Linked DNA regions of Rattus norvegicus. The protein of the gene in region 3 interacts with the protein of the main gene of each other region in a biochemical or structural test. Links are inferred from orthologs where the notes say so. Each region holds a gene or a part of one and is shown on either strand. Other genes may lie near its edges. The genes, in order: Arrb2, Hip1, Cltc and Ocrl.

Region 1 (4,184 bases), about 16 Mb from region 3:
ATGCTGCCCCAGCAATGAACCTCTAATATGGCCCCTCTGCTCCCCTCCACTCTCTGTTCATCATTTTCCCTCGGCTAGCTTATCTTCTAGCGAGCGGTCTCGCTATGCGACACGTTACCCAAAAAGAGAAGTCCTATCTCGACATTCCTCTGGTGAAAGCAAAACCCAATCAAATCAGCACTGGGCTGGAATTAGTGGTGAGCTAAGCATATGTGAGGCCCTAGCAGAAAATTAAATTAAATTAAATTAAATAAAGACTACAGTTCCTCGGGCTCTTTCTTTCACCTGCTATACACAGTCTTCCACCGTCTCTTCTATTCCTCCGCAGCTCTACCTCCTGCCATCTAACCCACAGACATTTTAGAACAGGGCGTGCTTTTCCTTACTCATCTTTAGGATGTCCTTTCCCCACTTCTGTCCATCCTTCAGAAGGGCTGTCCTCAAATTTCCTATGCTATGGAGTGACTGCACTCCCTCCTCCACGCTGGCCAAGCGCTTTTAGGCTTTTAGTTGCTTGATGGTCTGAGTCATATCTATTATAGCGTTCCTGGGAGCATAATACCTGTTTTATATGTCTCACGGATCCCAGGAAACTTAGGCCATGATGTTGTCCCGATGGCTCTGCACAGTGACTTACACAAAATAGGCAGGGAGGGAAGGATGAAGAATGGAAGAGATAAGTGGAGTAGGTGAATGATGGCTAGGATAGACGGTAAGGGAGATGACAAAGTCTGAATGTTTTAAAGTGACACTGCAAAAAAAAAAAAAAAAAATCAAAGACAATACACCAGGGGGAGCTGAAGACCACGAGAACGCGGGAAAGGTAGGCCAAACAAGGCTGCAAGCTCAGGGATGAGCAGCGCATACCAAAGCAAGCATCATCACGCAACAGATACGGCTCACCCACGTGGGCAGCCCCTTGGTGCTCAGACCCAGACAGTGTTTGAGCTCATTCCCACCGCCCCCTCGATCCCGTCCCTCCTCCGCTACAGTGAAAGCAAACAAAGGGGAGGGATCCCTGCAGGGCTATGGATACCAACGGCCAATCAGCTGCTTCTAAACTTCTCGAAGGCGGCCGCCTCCATTTTAAGGGGCCCAATCTAGTTCCAAAGGCTTGAGGAGGGGCGGGGAGATCGAGAGTAGGGACGGCGCGAGGAGGCTTCCCCGAGGGAGACTGAGGGCGGAGGCGTGGGGCGGAGCCAGCTCGAAGAGGGCGGGCTGCGCCGCGGCGCGCGGGCTCCGGCTGACGCAGCTGGCCCCAGCTCCCCTAGACCCAGACCGCGAGGGGAGGGGAAGGAGGAGAAAGAGTGAGGACGCGCGTGCGCAGTGACTCGGGGAGGAGTGGGGACCTGGCAGCGGGTGAGAAGGCTGCGAGCGAGCCGCGAACCCGGCGGGTGGAGGGCGGCGAGCGCGCGCGCACCATGGGTGAAAAACCCGGGACCAGGTAAGGGAGGTGGGGCCGTGCCGCGGGGCATGGGCGGCTGCTCGCGGAGTGTGCCAGGTTGATCCACAGACAAGGACACCGGGGAAGAAACCCCGGGGCCGGACGCCTGGGTCCCTAGAGGGTAGCTGTCCGGGGCCGCAAGCCTAGGTCCTTGAGGATATTGGAGTGGGGGTGCGTGCTGGGGCTCCTGCAAAAAGCAAGACTTGATAGAGATCGGGAAACCCACGCCTGGGTTCTCACAGAGATGTAGGAGTCGGACTACTGGGTTCTCTGCAGGCTGTGATGCAGGGGCGGAGGAAGGAGGAGCAGGTGGCCGGCCCCGAGGGGTTGTGTGCTGGGAGACTGGATGCTGGGAAGGGATTCCCCTAGACTCGTGCCCAACCAATGGAAAGCCTCCTGCCCAATACCCCACAGTCTGATTGCTCCCACCTGTCCCAAGGGTCGGATAGCTCTGCTACCAAACTTCTGCCTTCTCCTAGGTTGCTAGGAGCAACAGCTTCTTGAGAGAGTAGAGTGCATAGGGACCCTCGCTGAAATTGGGCTTTATTCCTGTCCTGGGGAGAGAGAGAGGTAGTATCTGCCCTGGACACACATCCTCTCCCCGGATGTTTTCTGTGCAATCGAGGCTCCTTCCTTCCACTGATACCAGAGTTCTCTTTTTTGGTCTATAGCAAAATCCACTTCCTGTTGTGACCCAACACCCCCAGGAGGACATGGGGTGAATACTTGAGTTCCAAAGGAGCAAGAACTAAATAATAGGTTGGGGCCATGTGCCTCAAGCCAGAGAGGACCAAGGATAAGGGCCTGATTATGAACAGTGACTTCTGCAAAACATGAGACCAACCCCACCACTCCCACTGCCCTTAAGTATTAAGAAGACCAATATCTGAGAGAGATGCTTACAGGGAAGATTGACCTCCTAGATTTGAGGTTAAACTAAACCCCAGAGAAAGGAGAAGTCACTTACTTGGGGGGGAGGCCCCCAAATTTCCGTTGAGTACTTCAGGGAGGGAATAGATGGACCAAAGAAAGACTGCTGACTTGGCATAATTCCCTACCATCTCATCAAATTCTGGGCCAGAGGAAATGGCGAGAATGGCAGGAAGTACAAAGAGGCATCTGCTTTAGCTGCACCCCTCCAAGCTGGGTACCTCCCTGGTAATTCCCTTGCTCTGCCTTCTTGGCCAAGCACACTGTGCACGCTGCGCCCTCCCTAACCATGGCTGGGTAAGAGCAGGGCAACTGACGGAGATACAATGATTGTGTGGTCGTCACAGGTTCTGCCAGGGCTCCCAGTGGGGGAAAATACAAGACAGGAGGAAACCAGAAGTAGGAGAAAGAGCCAACCTAGGTGATGTCCAAGCTGTCAGCCCTAATTGGGACAGAAATTAGAGTGATTATTCTAACCGCCACCATGTCCAAATGTGCCTTTATTACTTGGGGATACTTAGGGCAGCCTATGTATATGCCATGTGACCCTAAGTGTGTGTGGCCCAGTGATGTATGGGCAGCTTGGCTTTGGGGAAGGAGGAGACAAGTGGTTTTTCCAAGCAGAAACTCACATAGTGTGTTGAAGGGAGGATGGAACTCTGGGCAGTTTTCAGCCTGTTATCTGGGGGCCCTTTCAGGAATTGCTCCGGAGCCAAAAGGCCTTAGAAGGGGTAGAGTTGTTCTTGGAAGAACAAGCCAAGGAATGGCCAGAGCTCTGGGGTCACTAGACAGTTTCCTATCCTCCTAGCCGTGGGTGGAGTCTAGACTTAGGTTGTTCTAGTGTCTGTACAGAAAAATCCCCTTAGACTTGACAAACTGTGACAGGCGAGCTTCACGACTTAGTGGTTGAGAACAGGGTCTTGAAACCAGGGTGCCTTCCTCAGGTTTATATCCGAGTCCCACCCTGTACCTTCTCTGTGACCTTTGACAAAATTCTTGTTTGCCGTAAAGCCGGGGTCTTTTAGCCTCTGTCACTGGGCGATAAGAGCTGTAAACGCAGTTGGTACAGTGCTAGAACACAGCAGTCACCAGTCAATGTTAGCCAGAATCACCATGTTTGTCACAGGATGCTACTGTGTGGGGACCACAGTGGGTTTTTTTGTTTTTGTTTTTTTTTAAGCTGCTGAGGTCAGAAACGGGGCTGTTGGAGGTTCATGAAATAGTCAGACTTGGGGACAGAAACATCTGAGGGGCAAAGACTCTGCTCCAGGAGTCACTGTGTGAGTCCTTGAAGCTAGAGGTCAGTTAAAGAGTTCATCTGAGTGTGGTAGTTCGTGCCCCTTCATCCTAGCACCAAAGAGACAGAGGTAAATGGATCTGAGTTGGGGCCAGCCTGGTCTACAAGTCAAGTTCCAGGCTAGCCAGAGTTACATACTAAGGCCAAGGTCAAAAGGGAGGGAGGAGTGTTAGGTGTGACCCAGACATTGTGTAGCCATCAGTTGACTCTTGGTTTCGGAGAGGGTCCCTCAGGAGAGCCTGAATAGTTGGCTGGGGCAAACAGTGGCCATTTACTATAAGCGGAGGAGTGAGTTAGTAACATCAACAGCAAAGAGGAAAGGCCTGACAGTTGGCTTCAAGAGGCTTCAAATACCGGTGGGAAGCAGTAAAAAAAAGCAGTGGGAAGGGTCGAGCAGGGATCCAGGGTGAATTCCATTTCTCTGGGGGGAGGGATAAATCCCGGCGTGGTGGTCCCTGCCCAGCCTAAGGGAGGCAGTGGGGTCTTCCTTTCTGTTTTGTTAGGGTCTTCAAG
Region 2 (4,276 bases), on a different chromosome or scaffold from region 3:
AACACACACACACACACACACACACACACACACACACACACACACACACACACACAGAGTACTGGCTGTCCCGGAACTCAGTCTATAGACCAGGCTGGCCTTGAACTCAGGGATCCATCTGCCTCTGCCTCCTGAGTGTTGTGACTAAAGCTGTGGGCCGCCACCACCTGTCTTGGAACACTGTCTTTAAAGCGTCCCACTGGTGTGATCGCTCAGGTAAGTTGCTACTAAGCCTACGACCCACGTCAGCTCTCTGGGATCCACATGGTAGGGAACAGAATCTTGTTTGCTTTCTGACCTCCACAGGTGCACTGCCGCGTGAGCACAGTCCCACACATACACACAGGTACATAATTCACACACATTAACAAAAGCCAAGCATCGTGGTCCACGGAGATTCGAGGGACTCGGCTATATAATGAGTTTGATGCTGTCATTCATTAATCAAAACATTGCCTAGTACAAGTGAGACGTGTACTGGGTTCTTGAACAGATAGATGAATAGCATCATCAATTTTTTTAAATTCTTAACGGTGCCACTGGTTCTGTTAGTAGAGAACGTGTAACATTTTCTTTGCTGAGGAGCACACGTCCCAGTCTGTAGATGCTCCCAGAACAGGATGGGAGGAGTGGACCCTGCTATAGATAAACAAGGAGCATCTGTTGGGGTTTCTACCAAGGTAAGGGAAAGCTCTGGGGAGATACCCGCAGTCAAAGTCCAGTACTTGGGGACCCGGGTCGGCGATCCTCCAGAACTGGCAGATAGGAATGCACGGGGAGGAGACTTCGAGAGCCACTAAGGCCGCCATCGCCGGACCACACTGATGCGGAGTTCCCCGGCAAGCCTGGTGAAAGCGGTGCAGCCATGCTTCCCTTGATCTGCCTTTCCGTCCCCCTCGGGAACTCGTGGCGCCGGCTGGACGGCAGCTCTTCGAGCTCAGCAACCCGCAGCAGAGAAGGGCCCAGGAGGTGGCGCTTCGAGATAGGGTGGAGTCTCAAGGGCTGGTCTGTAGCAGCCAGGCCCTGCCCCATTAAGATGACGGACAAGCCTTCAGAGCAATCATGGTGCTCTTTTGGTCCTGTAGGGTGGGAACAAAGGAGGAGTGACGGATGTAGGGTGGAGCAGCAAAAAAATGGTGAGGGCAGCTCACGAAGCCAGCCCTGCTGTGTTGACAGATAACTCTTCAGACCAATGACAGTGCATTTCTAGGCCTGGAAGGCGGTGTATCGATCATGGGGCGGAGCCTCGGGGAGGGAGCAAGAGCCCACCAGGTCCTGCCCACAGAAGTTAACGGACAAACCTTCAGACCAGTCATAGCATGCCGACCGCTCTGAGGCGGGCCAGCCGGTGAAGTGAGCGGAGCGCCTCCGAAGTGGGAAAAGGGATGTGGGGAAAAGCCTCTTGGAGAGATGGGGTGGGTCCTGAGGGAGATGGACAGCGCTGTCAACCAATGGAAGACGTAATCTGTCCCCGTTAGCGCCGGATCCCCGCGGGTAGGGAGGGGCGGGAGGCGCCGCGGGGATCCCGGGGCGGCCGAGGGCCCCTGACTCTGTTCACCCAGACAACATGGACCGGATGGCCAGCTCCATGAAGCAGGTACCCAACCCGCTGCCCAAAGTGTTGAGCCGGCGCGGGGTTGGTGCTGGGATGGAGGCTGCGGAGCGCGAGAGCTTCGAGCGGACTCAGGTGAGATTCGAGAACCCTGGGGCATCCCTGGGGGCACCTGGAGTGATGCAGGGTGCTAGAGAGGCTTGGAACGGAGTGAGTCTTGCAGTCCCGGGAGGGAATTAGGCAAGGTGGCTGCGATCAGAATCATTTTGGGGTGCGGAACTAGGCGGGTCCCAGGGAGGTCCGGGACCTGGGCATCCCTACTGGCACGGGGGTCGGGGTGTACTCCGGGGAACTGCAGATTCCTGCAACTGAGAGAATAGCCTCGGCGAGCACCATCAGAGGTCACAAGGGAGGCCAAAGGGAGTCGAAAAGGGACTGATGGAAGGGGTGCTCCTGGGTAGGGGAAGCACTTGGAAGTCACTCGGTTTTTGCAAGTGTGGGGACACCAACGTAGAGGTGTAAAGGGTGGCTCTGATCGCTTTACTTTAGTATTGACTTCTTCCTTCATTCCCCAGCATCTCGTTCAACGGTGCCTCTAACTTGGCTCTCAGCAGCCCCAGCTGTTGGCCTCAGAGGCTGCGCCAAAGGGGTCTGAGTGATGGGAGGGACCGTAGGAAATGTGAAGTGTGGTCCAACTTGGAAAATGACCCCCGGGGGTTTGGAGAAATGGGGACGCGTGTAGGAATTGCGACGCTTGGACTGTCAGACCCTCGCGTGTCGGGTTAAGCTCTCCAGTGATACATAGAATCCTGATTTGCGGTTTTCCTTTCACCCTCCAAAATATGCCTGACAGCTACTAAGCAGACCGCCTGCCTTGTCTGGTCTGACCAGGGCAGATGGCCAAAATTCCACCGCGGTTATCAACAAAAAGCCACTATCCACTTTTATCTCAAGCTTTTATGCATGCTGTATCGATCGGACCGAGTCAAGTAGTGAGGCGCTGGGTGTGTAGTTACCAATTCATCTGTATGTAAAATCTGAGAGTACAACCCTTCGGATCCCACTGCGGAAGCTGGGCCCGTAGATTTCTTGTTCTCCTCTGGCTCTCCAAGTTCTACTTTGAAGATCGAGTTGACTTCAGCCAGAGGCAGCTCCCCTGTGGTGTTCTGTGAGTAGAAAAGGTGGAAGAGATAGGAGAGCCCGTGAGTTCTATAAATGGACGGTGCACGGAAGACAGCCTTTTCACCCCAGGGGACTTTAATCCACCTCTTGTTTCTGAGACCCCTGGATCCACTTCTTGTGTCTGGGGGAAAAAAGGGGTAGTTGTACCCGGGGAGGAGGAGAACCGGCATTCACTTACCTCTCAATGTCTAAGGGTTTTTGGAACTTTTTTAATTTCTCAGATCTTCTGAACTTTGGGCATTGCTGCCAAAAGGAAAAAGAAAGTTTTCATCTTCTCCCCGCTACAAACCTCTTTTATTTTTAAACTGAAAGAGGAAAATAAGCCGGAGCTATTTTGTGACATCCAACCGTCTGAGAATCTCTGATAGCTTAAAACTGGAGCAGTAAGTTAGACATAAAAGTTTGAGCTTGGGGTTGGGGATTTAGCTCAGTGGTAGAGCGCTTGCCTAGCAAGCGCAAGGCCCTGGGTTCAGTCGTCAGCTCCAAAAAAACAAAGACAAAACAAAACAAAAGTTTGAGCTTAGGCCCAGTGGAGCTGGCTAAGGGGCCACCTGCGTTTCATGCCAGGGAAGGAGCCATGTTGCCCTCTGACTTCAGTTTTGAGCTGCGCCATGAACACCCCTCCATACACACACACCCAAAATTACATTAAGAGTGTTTTTGAAAGTTTGAAATTAATAGACAGTGATAGAAATTAGGCATTTGAGGGGTTGGGGATTTGGCTCAGTGGTAGAGCGCTTGCCTAGGAAGCACAAGGTCCTGGGTTCAATCCCCAGCCCCGAAAAAAAAAGAAAAGAAAAAAAAAAAAAGAAAGAAATTAGGCATTTGAAATGTTTCCAGCCACAACTAACATTTTTCCTAGTTACCCAGGGAATACTCAACAGGAAGACTGGTAGGTCAGTGTCTAATTTTACCTTCGTAGAACACTTGTTATTAGTCAGATTTGGTGTGTGTGTGTGTGTGTGTGTGTGTGTGTGTGTGTGCATGTGTGCACACGCATTGAGATATACTACAGCAGAGTTTTTCAGTTATGGAAACTCCTCCCTCCCCTTTTTTTCTTTTCTTTTTGATTTTTACAGATAGGGTTTCTCTGTATAACAGCTCTGGCTGACCCGGAACTCACTTTGTAGATCAGGCTAGCCTCAGACTCACAATGGTCTGCCTGCCTCTGCCTCCCAAGTGCTGAGGGTTTTTTTTTTTTTAATTTTTTGTTTGTTTTGTTATTGTTGCTTTTGTTTTATTTGAGTGAGGATCTTACTGTGTTGCTCAGGCTAGCCTGGAACTCAGCTATGTAGACCAGGCTGGCCCTCAAACTTTCATCTCCCTGCCTTGGCCTCCCTAGTGCTCAGATTACTGGCATGAGGCAGCACAATCCAACTGAGTTGTTGAAATTCTCTCAAGCTGGCAGGCATGGTGGGACACTTTGACAATCCCAGCACTCAGGAGGCAGAGGCAGGAGGATCCTTGCCAGTGTGGTCTCCATAGCAGATTCCAGGCTAACCATGCCTATACATAGGGAGACCCTATCTGCAAAAGAATGTC
Region 3 (4,360 bases):
TGGTGGCAAGGCTCTTCTTCACAACGGGGGGCTGACTGCCTTCTCACTTGCCTGTTTCTCTCAGCCCAGGTATGAAAGGCAGTATTTGGAGAAACACTAAAAGCAACTAAAATGACTAAGCAGATTTCTGTAAGCAAAACCGCTTACACAAAATTATTGTATACCCAGTGGTGTCTTATGTTCTTTAGGTGAAAGGGGCATTGAAAATAACTTTCTCAAGAACTTTCAGGGGAATTAAGATGAAATATGAGGAATTGAATTCTCTAAATCATCCTTATTGGTGCTATTGTGAAACATTACACCTTACACTTTAGCAAGAGCTCTGGAGCGGCTATGAATCGCTAATGAATGCTGCAGATACCTTAGTGCTGTAGTCAGGCAAGGTGCTCCGGTTTTGAAGAGCTTACACTGCCCACTTTGCTACTACAGGCAATGATCCTACTAACGTGTATGACCAACAGTCAATCCCTCCGCTCCAAGAAAGCCCTCGAGGTTTCTTTCACCATCCATCCTTTGATCTAAACCTTTAAAGATTTTCAGGTTGCCGAACACTCCCAACTCTCAAAGGCCAAACTAATCTCTACATTAGGCTGGTGTAAGTCCACCAAAATGTCCGCGGAAGCTCTCTCCAGGGCCAGCAGGAGACACTTCTCACATGGCCTTCACTGTCCTTTGAGATGGTTTATCTGAGGCACTCGAGAGCCATCCGGCTCTCCTGGCGTCAGAAGGGCGTGCGTCAGGGCAGGGAGGCTTGCAGCTCAGCACGATCCCCCCTCCCTGAGGTGTCAGCAACCACCCACTGCGTGAAACCGGGCGGGGGAGGCGCGCCGCAGTCAGCCGCCCAAAGAGCGCTGCGGCGGGGCCGTTTTCCCTTAGTCACCGCGGCGCCGACGCCGCGGCCTTCTCCTCAGGCACTCGGTGTCCTCACGCCCCGGTCGCCACGCCGGCAGGGGGCTCAACGGCCACCTCAACCCCAGGAGCAGCGGCCAGTCCCTAACTCTCGCCCTCCACTCTGGCAGCCGTCAACCGACCCTTCCCTACCCGCATCACGTGCACCTGGAAGTGCGTGGGTGGGTCCTACAGCGCCTACGGAAATGACGTAGTTCGCCCCGAGTCGCATGATGTGGCAAAATGTTAAAAAAAAAAAAAAGGTGGGGGGGAGGGGAGGAGGGAGAAACCGGAGCCTGGGGAAAGTGATGAGTCTAGAAAAAGTAGTCCCTCGGTTCCTCTGTTTCCCCGCTGCCGCATCAGCGAAGAGCGATCCGCGCACTGCGTCCCTGAATTCCTACGCCTGTCCGCTGCACGGGGTTCGTGGAAGGCTACATAAGGCGGACAGGGTGAGGAGGCTGGGCGGAGTTCTGCCCCGGGATCCTTCCGCAGGGCTCAGCCGTTTCCGGAGTCTGCGCTGCTCCCGGTTCCGCCATTGCGGCTCTCCCGGCCCTTGGAGCCTCCGCCCCCGACCCAAGCTCTCTCGTCTGCCTGCCAGTTCCCTACGTCCCCGGAGAGTATTCCTCTGAGCCCAACCTCCCCCTCCCTTCCCCTTCTCCTCCTCTCCCTTGGAGAGCCCGGGCAGGCACTGCCCTGCAGCCCCAGTGACAGGAGGAGACCATACTCCCCGACAGCGCCATGGCCCAGATTCTGCCAATTCGCTTTCAGGAGCATCTCCAGGTGCGTGTTAGTCGGGGCTGCTGAGGGACTTTTCGAGGGTATTGGGAAGGAAGCTAGCGGCCCGGCCCGAAGGGGATCGAGAGAACGGGAGTGGGGGGGTGTCGGTATTTGGCATTGATGGAGGAAGGACACTGTCTTAAAAGCTTAAAGGGTTAAACGATATGAGACTAGGATGGAAATGACGAATCGGAGTGCAAAGGGCGGCGAGGCCAGGCCTTACGTCTGACGGCCTCTTATTTCTGCTTCCTGGATTGCAAGAACTGCGCATACCAGACCCCCCTTCCCATTTTACTCAGTTCATTCATTTGGGTAGGGGCTAGGTGGGGGAGCTTCTCGCGCGTTTCTCCCAGAGCAAGAATTCTCGTTAACTCCGGGCGATGCAGGGCTGTCACCTTCCCTTGGTCTATTCCGATTTCCACATCGAGTCTGCACCCAGGAATTGTGTGGCGGGTGGGTTGGGGAGGAGCTGCATCTTCGCTCTGCAGCTCACAGCTGAGAAAGGCACCTTGGGGTTAGGGTAGCAGTGGCTTGTGTCTTGCCTTCCCTGAATCTGTAAAGAACCGAAGGTCACACTCACTGAAGGAACAGAAAGAAGATAGAGGGGCGGCTAGGGGCGGTGTCAGTCTCAGGGTGCCTGGGGTCAAGGTCCCAAGGGGAACGCGCATATTTTTCCTTTCTTGGTTTCTTCAAGGGTTAGTGTAGTTCTAAGACTCACTTTGATTCTTGTAGGTAGGGAGAGTTATTTAGAGGTTATTTATGGTCTTTTGGAATCTAGCAGGTAGTTGTGGGATTAAGGCAGGAGTATGTCTCACAGGACTGTGTGGAATTCAACAGAGCCTGGAGTGCTGTAAATGCATACCTGCTCTGAGACAGTACCTGACAAGTTGATCTATAACTGGCTTCTTTTTAATAGGCTGGGGTGCCCCCCTCCCCCCACTGCACCTTATCCTGGAGTCAATACACCATTGTCTAACCTGGCACCATGCCAGCAGTTGGCCTAGGCAGGTGACCATTGGAGGGCTTCGCTGAATTAAGCTTCTTCTGAACTGCTGCTTTTCCTGGTTCTCTTGTCCTGACTCTTTAACATCATAATTTATTCATAATAATTTACTTCCCCCCAAATATCCCCATAAAGAAATCTGCTTTCAGCTTCATCTTTTGAAGGGCTAATTTCATGAGGGAAGGTGTAACGATCCAGTTCAAATATTGGTAACTTATTGAGTGCTTTATCATTGAAGGCAATCTGATTTACTGTTCTCCGTTGATACACGTAAAAGATGTTTGATAATAAACAGGGTTAACTAAAATTCAGCTACAAGTAAAATAATTAAATATTTCTTTATAGACTTTTACCGTGTTGCTTACATTAAAAAATTATTTTACTTTAGGACTTTAAATGTAAATGATAATAGACCTTTGCCCATAAAATGAGCTAAATACACTTTCTTCAGTCATCACTAGTTTTCAAATAATTCACCTGATTTTGGCAATAAGATCTCTATTTTGCAAAAGTCTGAAAAATGTCAAGTGACAATCCTGACAGAGAAGTTAATTTTGTCCTCAATTCAAGCTTGTTTGAGTTTCCTCTGTTAAGAAAATAAAGAGTTAGGAAGGCACTGTTCTGGATGCTAGCGGACAGTGTGCTGACCTCTTCAAGCTGAGCTAAGAGGGAGGCAGCCTGTGTACATTAACGAAAAAAAAAAAACTAGCTTTAATTAATTGCTTGCTTTAATTAATTTGGCCATGAATTGGATTGCTGTTTTCTCTCCTCCCATCTTTGGAATTAACCCTTGTCCACACTGAAGTTTATCAGAAATAGCCTTCTGCAAATATGTATATAAACCATATTCAAGAGAAGCAAAGACAGCTGCTGATCACATGATCATTGTTGATTTGAGTAATAGTGTTTCATTTCTGTTAAACACGAGACCAGAATTGTTGAATGGTCTACAGACTGGAATCCAAACTTGTCACTAATTAAAAACAAATTTAATGCAGGTGTGGCATGTGAGTAACAATTTCTGCAAATACTTGAAACTGTTTTCCTAAATTTGGAGATTTTGAATATTTATAAAATAGCTTTACAAGTGTTCTTGAAGATCTCTGTCTGTTCTTTGGAGGACCATGTTACACTTTAAGCTTTGGCTGGTAGGATTCCACTCCAGTAGATGGTGATCAGTTTCGTCAAAAGGGCAAATCACCATCTTTTCCAAGATAATGTATTCTCCTGATCTCAGATTTTTCCCCCCTCGGAGCTGGGGACCGAACCCAGGGCCTTGCGCTTGCTAGGCAAGTGCTCTACCACTGAGCTAAATCTCCAACCCCCTGATCTCAGATTTTTATCCCTCTCTTAACACTTCAGTGTAAGGAGTGTTTCAGTTGTCATCTTAAGTCTTTGATTTCCAAGCCTCTGCCATTCTGCTTAGAAAACAACTTTTAAAACGCTTAGGAGAAGAACTGGAAAATGAGGAACTAGAGAGTGTAGAGTTCACTTGTGAAAGTTAACAGCAAACTCTACATTTTTTTTAAGCTTTTTATGAGAGTGTTGCAAATAAAAAATTGCTATTTATTTTCATATCCCTTTGTACGTGTTTAGATAAAGATCTGTCATCAAGGCTTGGAACTACATCACATAATTTTAATATTTTATGTGATGAAGGAATTTTTGTTGAGTTACAGATTCTGAACAAAT
Region 4 (3,560 bases), on a different chromosome or scaffold from region 3:
CCATCCGTTCTCACCCTCCTCCCCTTTCCCTCAATGAGGGTGCTCCTCCACCCACTCACCGCTCTAGCATCCCCACTGGGGCATCAAGCGTCCCTCCCCTCCCATTGATGTCAGAAAAGTCCATCCTCTGCTACATATGTATCTGGAGTCCTGGCTTCCAAGAGTTCTTTTGTTAGGTATCTGGCAAAACACTTTTAAAAGTTATGTTAATCAAAATACCCATTCATAAAAGTGATAAAAGCAACATTGTGTTTGTTTCAACTTGATCTTTGTTTTTGAATTATCTTTTTTGCTGTAATGTTATTAGATTTTTTGTTGGAACTTGGAATGTGAATGGCCAGTCTCCAGACAGCAGCTTAGAACCTTGGCTGAACTGTGATCCAAATCCTCCTGATATTTACTGCATTGGGTAAGGAGCGCTTCTGGACCTTCCTTTTCCTATATTTGGTGTTACCGTAACCTGACTGTGGCCCCCCTCTCATCTGTGTGTGTGTTTGTGTGTGTACACATGTGGGTGTGTGCATGTGACCCCACAGGTTATCAGGTGTCTTGCTCAATCACTCTCCATCTTATTTCCTTTCCATTTCTTTAATTCTTTAAACATTTAACTTATACATATATGATTAATTTTAGTTGTTTGCACCCCTGTTACCTTCTTCTCAAAAAACTCCCTCCTACACTCATGTCTTCTTTATATGTACAACCCACTGTGTTTAGTTGGAGTTTCTTTTGTGAACATGGATGGGATGTTATTTACTAGAGCAACTCATCGGTGGCTTTCCCACCAAAGAAAGTGATACCCCTTCCACCAGCAACGGTTAACTGCCCACTGTCCCTTAAAAAGGGGTAGGGCCTCATGGGCCCCTCCCCCATTCATGATGAAATGATGACGGGCCCAATCTGTGCAGGACTTAGACAACCACAGCTGTACTGAGTTGAGGGGAACCATGGTGATGTCATCCACGTGATGTCCTTTTGCTGTACATGTCCCCATCTTCTGACTCTTACATTCTTGCCACACCCTCTTTCCAGTGTCCCTGAGCCTTGGATTGTGTGATGTAAATGTCCCATAGTGGCAGAGCCCTCTGCCATCATGAATTCTTAGCACTTTGGCGAGTTATGAGTCCCTCCTGTAGCTGCCACCTACTTCTATGATAAAAGCTTTATCTACCTTATTTTTTTAGATGGGGTCTCTCATTGAACCAGGAGTTTGCCTAGAGATAGCTCCTCCCCTGGCTTCCTCCCCAGTGTGGGCATTACAGACACATGCCTGCACAGACAGCTTCTCTGCATGGATGCTGAGGTTTGAACTCACATCCTCACACTTGTACAGCAAGCACTTTACTGACTGGAACATTTCCCCAGCCTTGAGCTTCATATTTTTTCTAAAGCTTGATTGATAAAAGAAATCTTGCTGTGCACTATATGTGAGGGTTAATTTGTGGGTCAAAAGAAAACATGAATGAAACCGTTAACAGGGAACCACTCATCGTAGAAACGGATGAGATCAATTCTCAAAGTGATTATTCAAAGGTTGTAAAAGACAAGTTTCACTATGAGAGTTTTGATATTGTTCAGTTTTTGTATAACCTATGAATGTACTGGTGGGGATTCTCTAGAAAATCTATGTGCCTTTTGTAAAATTTATCTCATACTCTTTTTTTTCTTTACTCTAATGTCTCAGCAAATGGGAAAGGATGTAGCTAAGGAAAGTTGTGGCTGTGTATAGTGCCTGCATCTCTTTTCCCCTCAGATTCCAAGAGCTGGACTTGAGCACAGAAGCCTTTTTCTACTTTGAGTCTGTAAAAGAGCAAGAATGGGCCATGGCTGTGGAAAGGGGTCTGCCTTCGAAGGCCAAGTATAAAAAGGTAAGCTGCGCTGGGTTCTCGCTTTTAGCAGATGATTAAGTAGAACTCACTGGGAGTCATCCATTAACTGAACCTCTTCCAAAAGGCTTAAATAATTGACTTCTTCCCCGTATGAAATACTGCGTGCGCCATATGAGACTAATCTACTGGAGTTACTTCTGAGAAAAAATTCGTAAGCTTTCTGATCATACATTTTCATCATTTAGTTTTTTAGAATAAATCAATATATTGCTTTTACATTAATAATCCAAATAGTTACATATAAGCTAACTGATCTGTCTGTGTAAAAATATATAAGATTGTCCTCCAACATGGCCAGAATGAAATGCCTACAAAAAGAGCAGTATGGGGGTTGGGGATTTAGCTCAGTGGCAGAGCGCTTGCCTAGCAAGCGCAAGGCCCTGGGTTCGATCCCCAGCTCCAAAAAAAGAAAAGAAAAAAAAAAAGAAGAGCAGTATGAAGTATATGGGGCGCAGAGAGGATGCTTTCAATTCAGAACAAGAATAGCAGTATTGTGGGATTTAAGCACATTCTGAACTTCTTTGTCAGTCAAGAATTGACTTGAGCAAAGTGGTCCAATTTGTTAGTCTTTAGAAGATATCTGCTAGGAGCATTTAGCTACTAGGAGTTATGTTCATCTTAAGACTACTGTCCCACCCCATATGAACAACAATGCCAAGCAACCAGAGCTTCCAGGGACTAAGCCACTACCCAAAGACTACAGGGACTGACCCTGGACTCTGACCTCATAGGTAGCAATGAATATCCTAGTAAGAGCACCAGTGGAAGGGGAAGCCCTGGGTCCTGCTAAGACTGAACCCCCAGTGAACTAGATTGTTGGGGGGAGGGCGGCAATGGGGGGAGGGTGGGGAGGGGAACACCCATAAGGAAGGGGAGGGGTTAGGGGGATGTTGACCTGGAAACCAGGAAAGGGAATAACAATTGAAATGTAAATAAGAAATACTCAATAAAGATGGAGGGGGAAAAAAAGAAAGAAAACAAATAACTCTAACCAATAAAAAGAAAGGAAAAAGAAAAAACACAGCATGCCATTTTCTATGCTGCTTGTTGAACCATTAAAATTCAGTCTTGATCATGTAAATTAAGTGTGGATCTGTGAAGAACTGTATAATTTGGATAGAGCTGGATTAAATGTATTTCTGATTTGGAAAAGAAAAAGACTACTGTCCCAAACTCAAACAAAGTCATCTATGGTTTTGAACAGTTTACGTAGTGACCATTTGAACTTTTAATATGCTCTCAACGGGCTACAGAGTGATGGGTATGGCTCAGTGGGAGATAGCTGCATGACATGCTCAGCGTTCTCCATTTGACCCTCAGCACTGATAAATAGAAGCAGAGAGACAGAGGCATACACAGAGAGAGGCAGACAGACACAGAAAGACAGACACATACACTCACAGAGAGACAGAGAAAGAGAGAGAGAAACAGACTTATGCACTGTCCCTCAAGGCTTTTAACTCTTATTAATCAAAGCCAGACTAGAGCTTCCACAGAGAATCTTAGTTTCCAATTTATGGGGTCTGATTGGAAATTAGAGGATGCAGATCTAGATTTGAACATTAGTAATCATCTCATTGGACATCCTAGGAAGTTAGCTATGTAGCAGAGAGTGATGCTTATTTTAGCCCTTAGTAACTCTCTGGAATTCATAGGTTCAACTGGTCCGCC

The links.
Region 1: the proteins of Cltc (region 3) and Arrb2 form a complex in vitro, tested with the Homo sapiens proteins (3 studies listed by BioGRID and IntAct, with this or other methods). The link is inferred for Rattus norvegicus from reciprocal best matches to the Homo sapiens genes CLTC and ARRB2.
Region 2: the proteins of Cltc (region 3) and Hip1 form a complex in vitro, tested with the Homo sapiens proteins (3 studies listed by BioGRID). The link is inferred for Rattus norvegicus from reciprocal best matches to the Homo sapiens genes CLTC and HIP1.
Region 4: the proteins of Cltc (region 3) and Ocrl form a complex in vitro, tested with the Homo sapiens proteins (2 studies listed by BioGRID and IntAct, with this or other methods). The link is inferred for Rattus norvegicus from reciprocal best matches to the Homo sapiens genes CLTC and OCRL.

What each region holds. Positions count from the first base shown.
Region 1 is NC_086028.1:55,644,259-55,648,442, forward strand, and holds the start of Arrb2 (beta-arrestin-2), read left to right. Parts: upstream 1-1,343; 5' UTR 1,344-1,421; coding exon 1,422-1,444; intron 1,445-4,148; exon of another isoform or gene 4,149-4,174; coding exon 4,175-4,184. UniProt on the Homo sapiens protein: Functions in regulating agonist-mediated G-protein coupled receptor (GPCR) signaling by mediating both receptor desensitization and resensitization processes.
Region 2 is NC_086030.1:26,768,488-26,772,763, forward strand, and holds the start of Hip1 (huntingtin-interacting protein 1), read left to right. Parts: upstream 1-1,459; 5' UTR 1,460-1,567; coding exon 1,568-1,687; intron 1,688-1,693; exon of another isoform or gene 1,694-4,276. UniProt on the Homo sapiens protein: Plays a role in clathrin-mediated endocytosis and trafficking. Involved in regulating AMPA receptor trafficking in the central nervous system in an NMDA-dependent manner. Regulates presynaptic nerve terminal activity.
Region 3 is NC_086028.1:72,067,860-72,072,219, reverse strand, and holds the start of Cltc (clathrin heavy chain 1), read left to right. Parts: upstream 1-1,528; 5' UTR 1,529-1,626; coding exon 1,627-1,668; intron 1,669-4,360. UniProt on the Homo sapiens protein: Clathrin is the major protein of the polyhedral coat of coated pits and vesicles. Two different adapter protein complexes link the clathrin lattice either to the plasma membrane or to the trans-Golgi network.
Region 4 is NC_086039.1:131,987,949-131,991,508, forward strand, and holds part of Ocrl (inositol polyphosphate 5-phosphatase OCRL), read left to right. Parts: intron 1-307; coding exon 308-409; intron 410-1,753; coding exon 1,754-1,868; intron 1,869-3,544; coding exon 3,545-3,560. UniProt on the Homo sapiens protein: Catalyzes the hydrolysis of the 5-position phosphate of phosphatidylinositol 4,5-bisphosphate (PtdIns(4,5)P2) and phosphatidylinositol-3,4,5-bisphosphate (PtdIns(3,4,5)P3), with the greatest catalytic activity towards PtdIns(4,5)P2.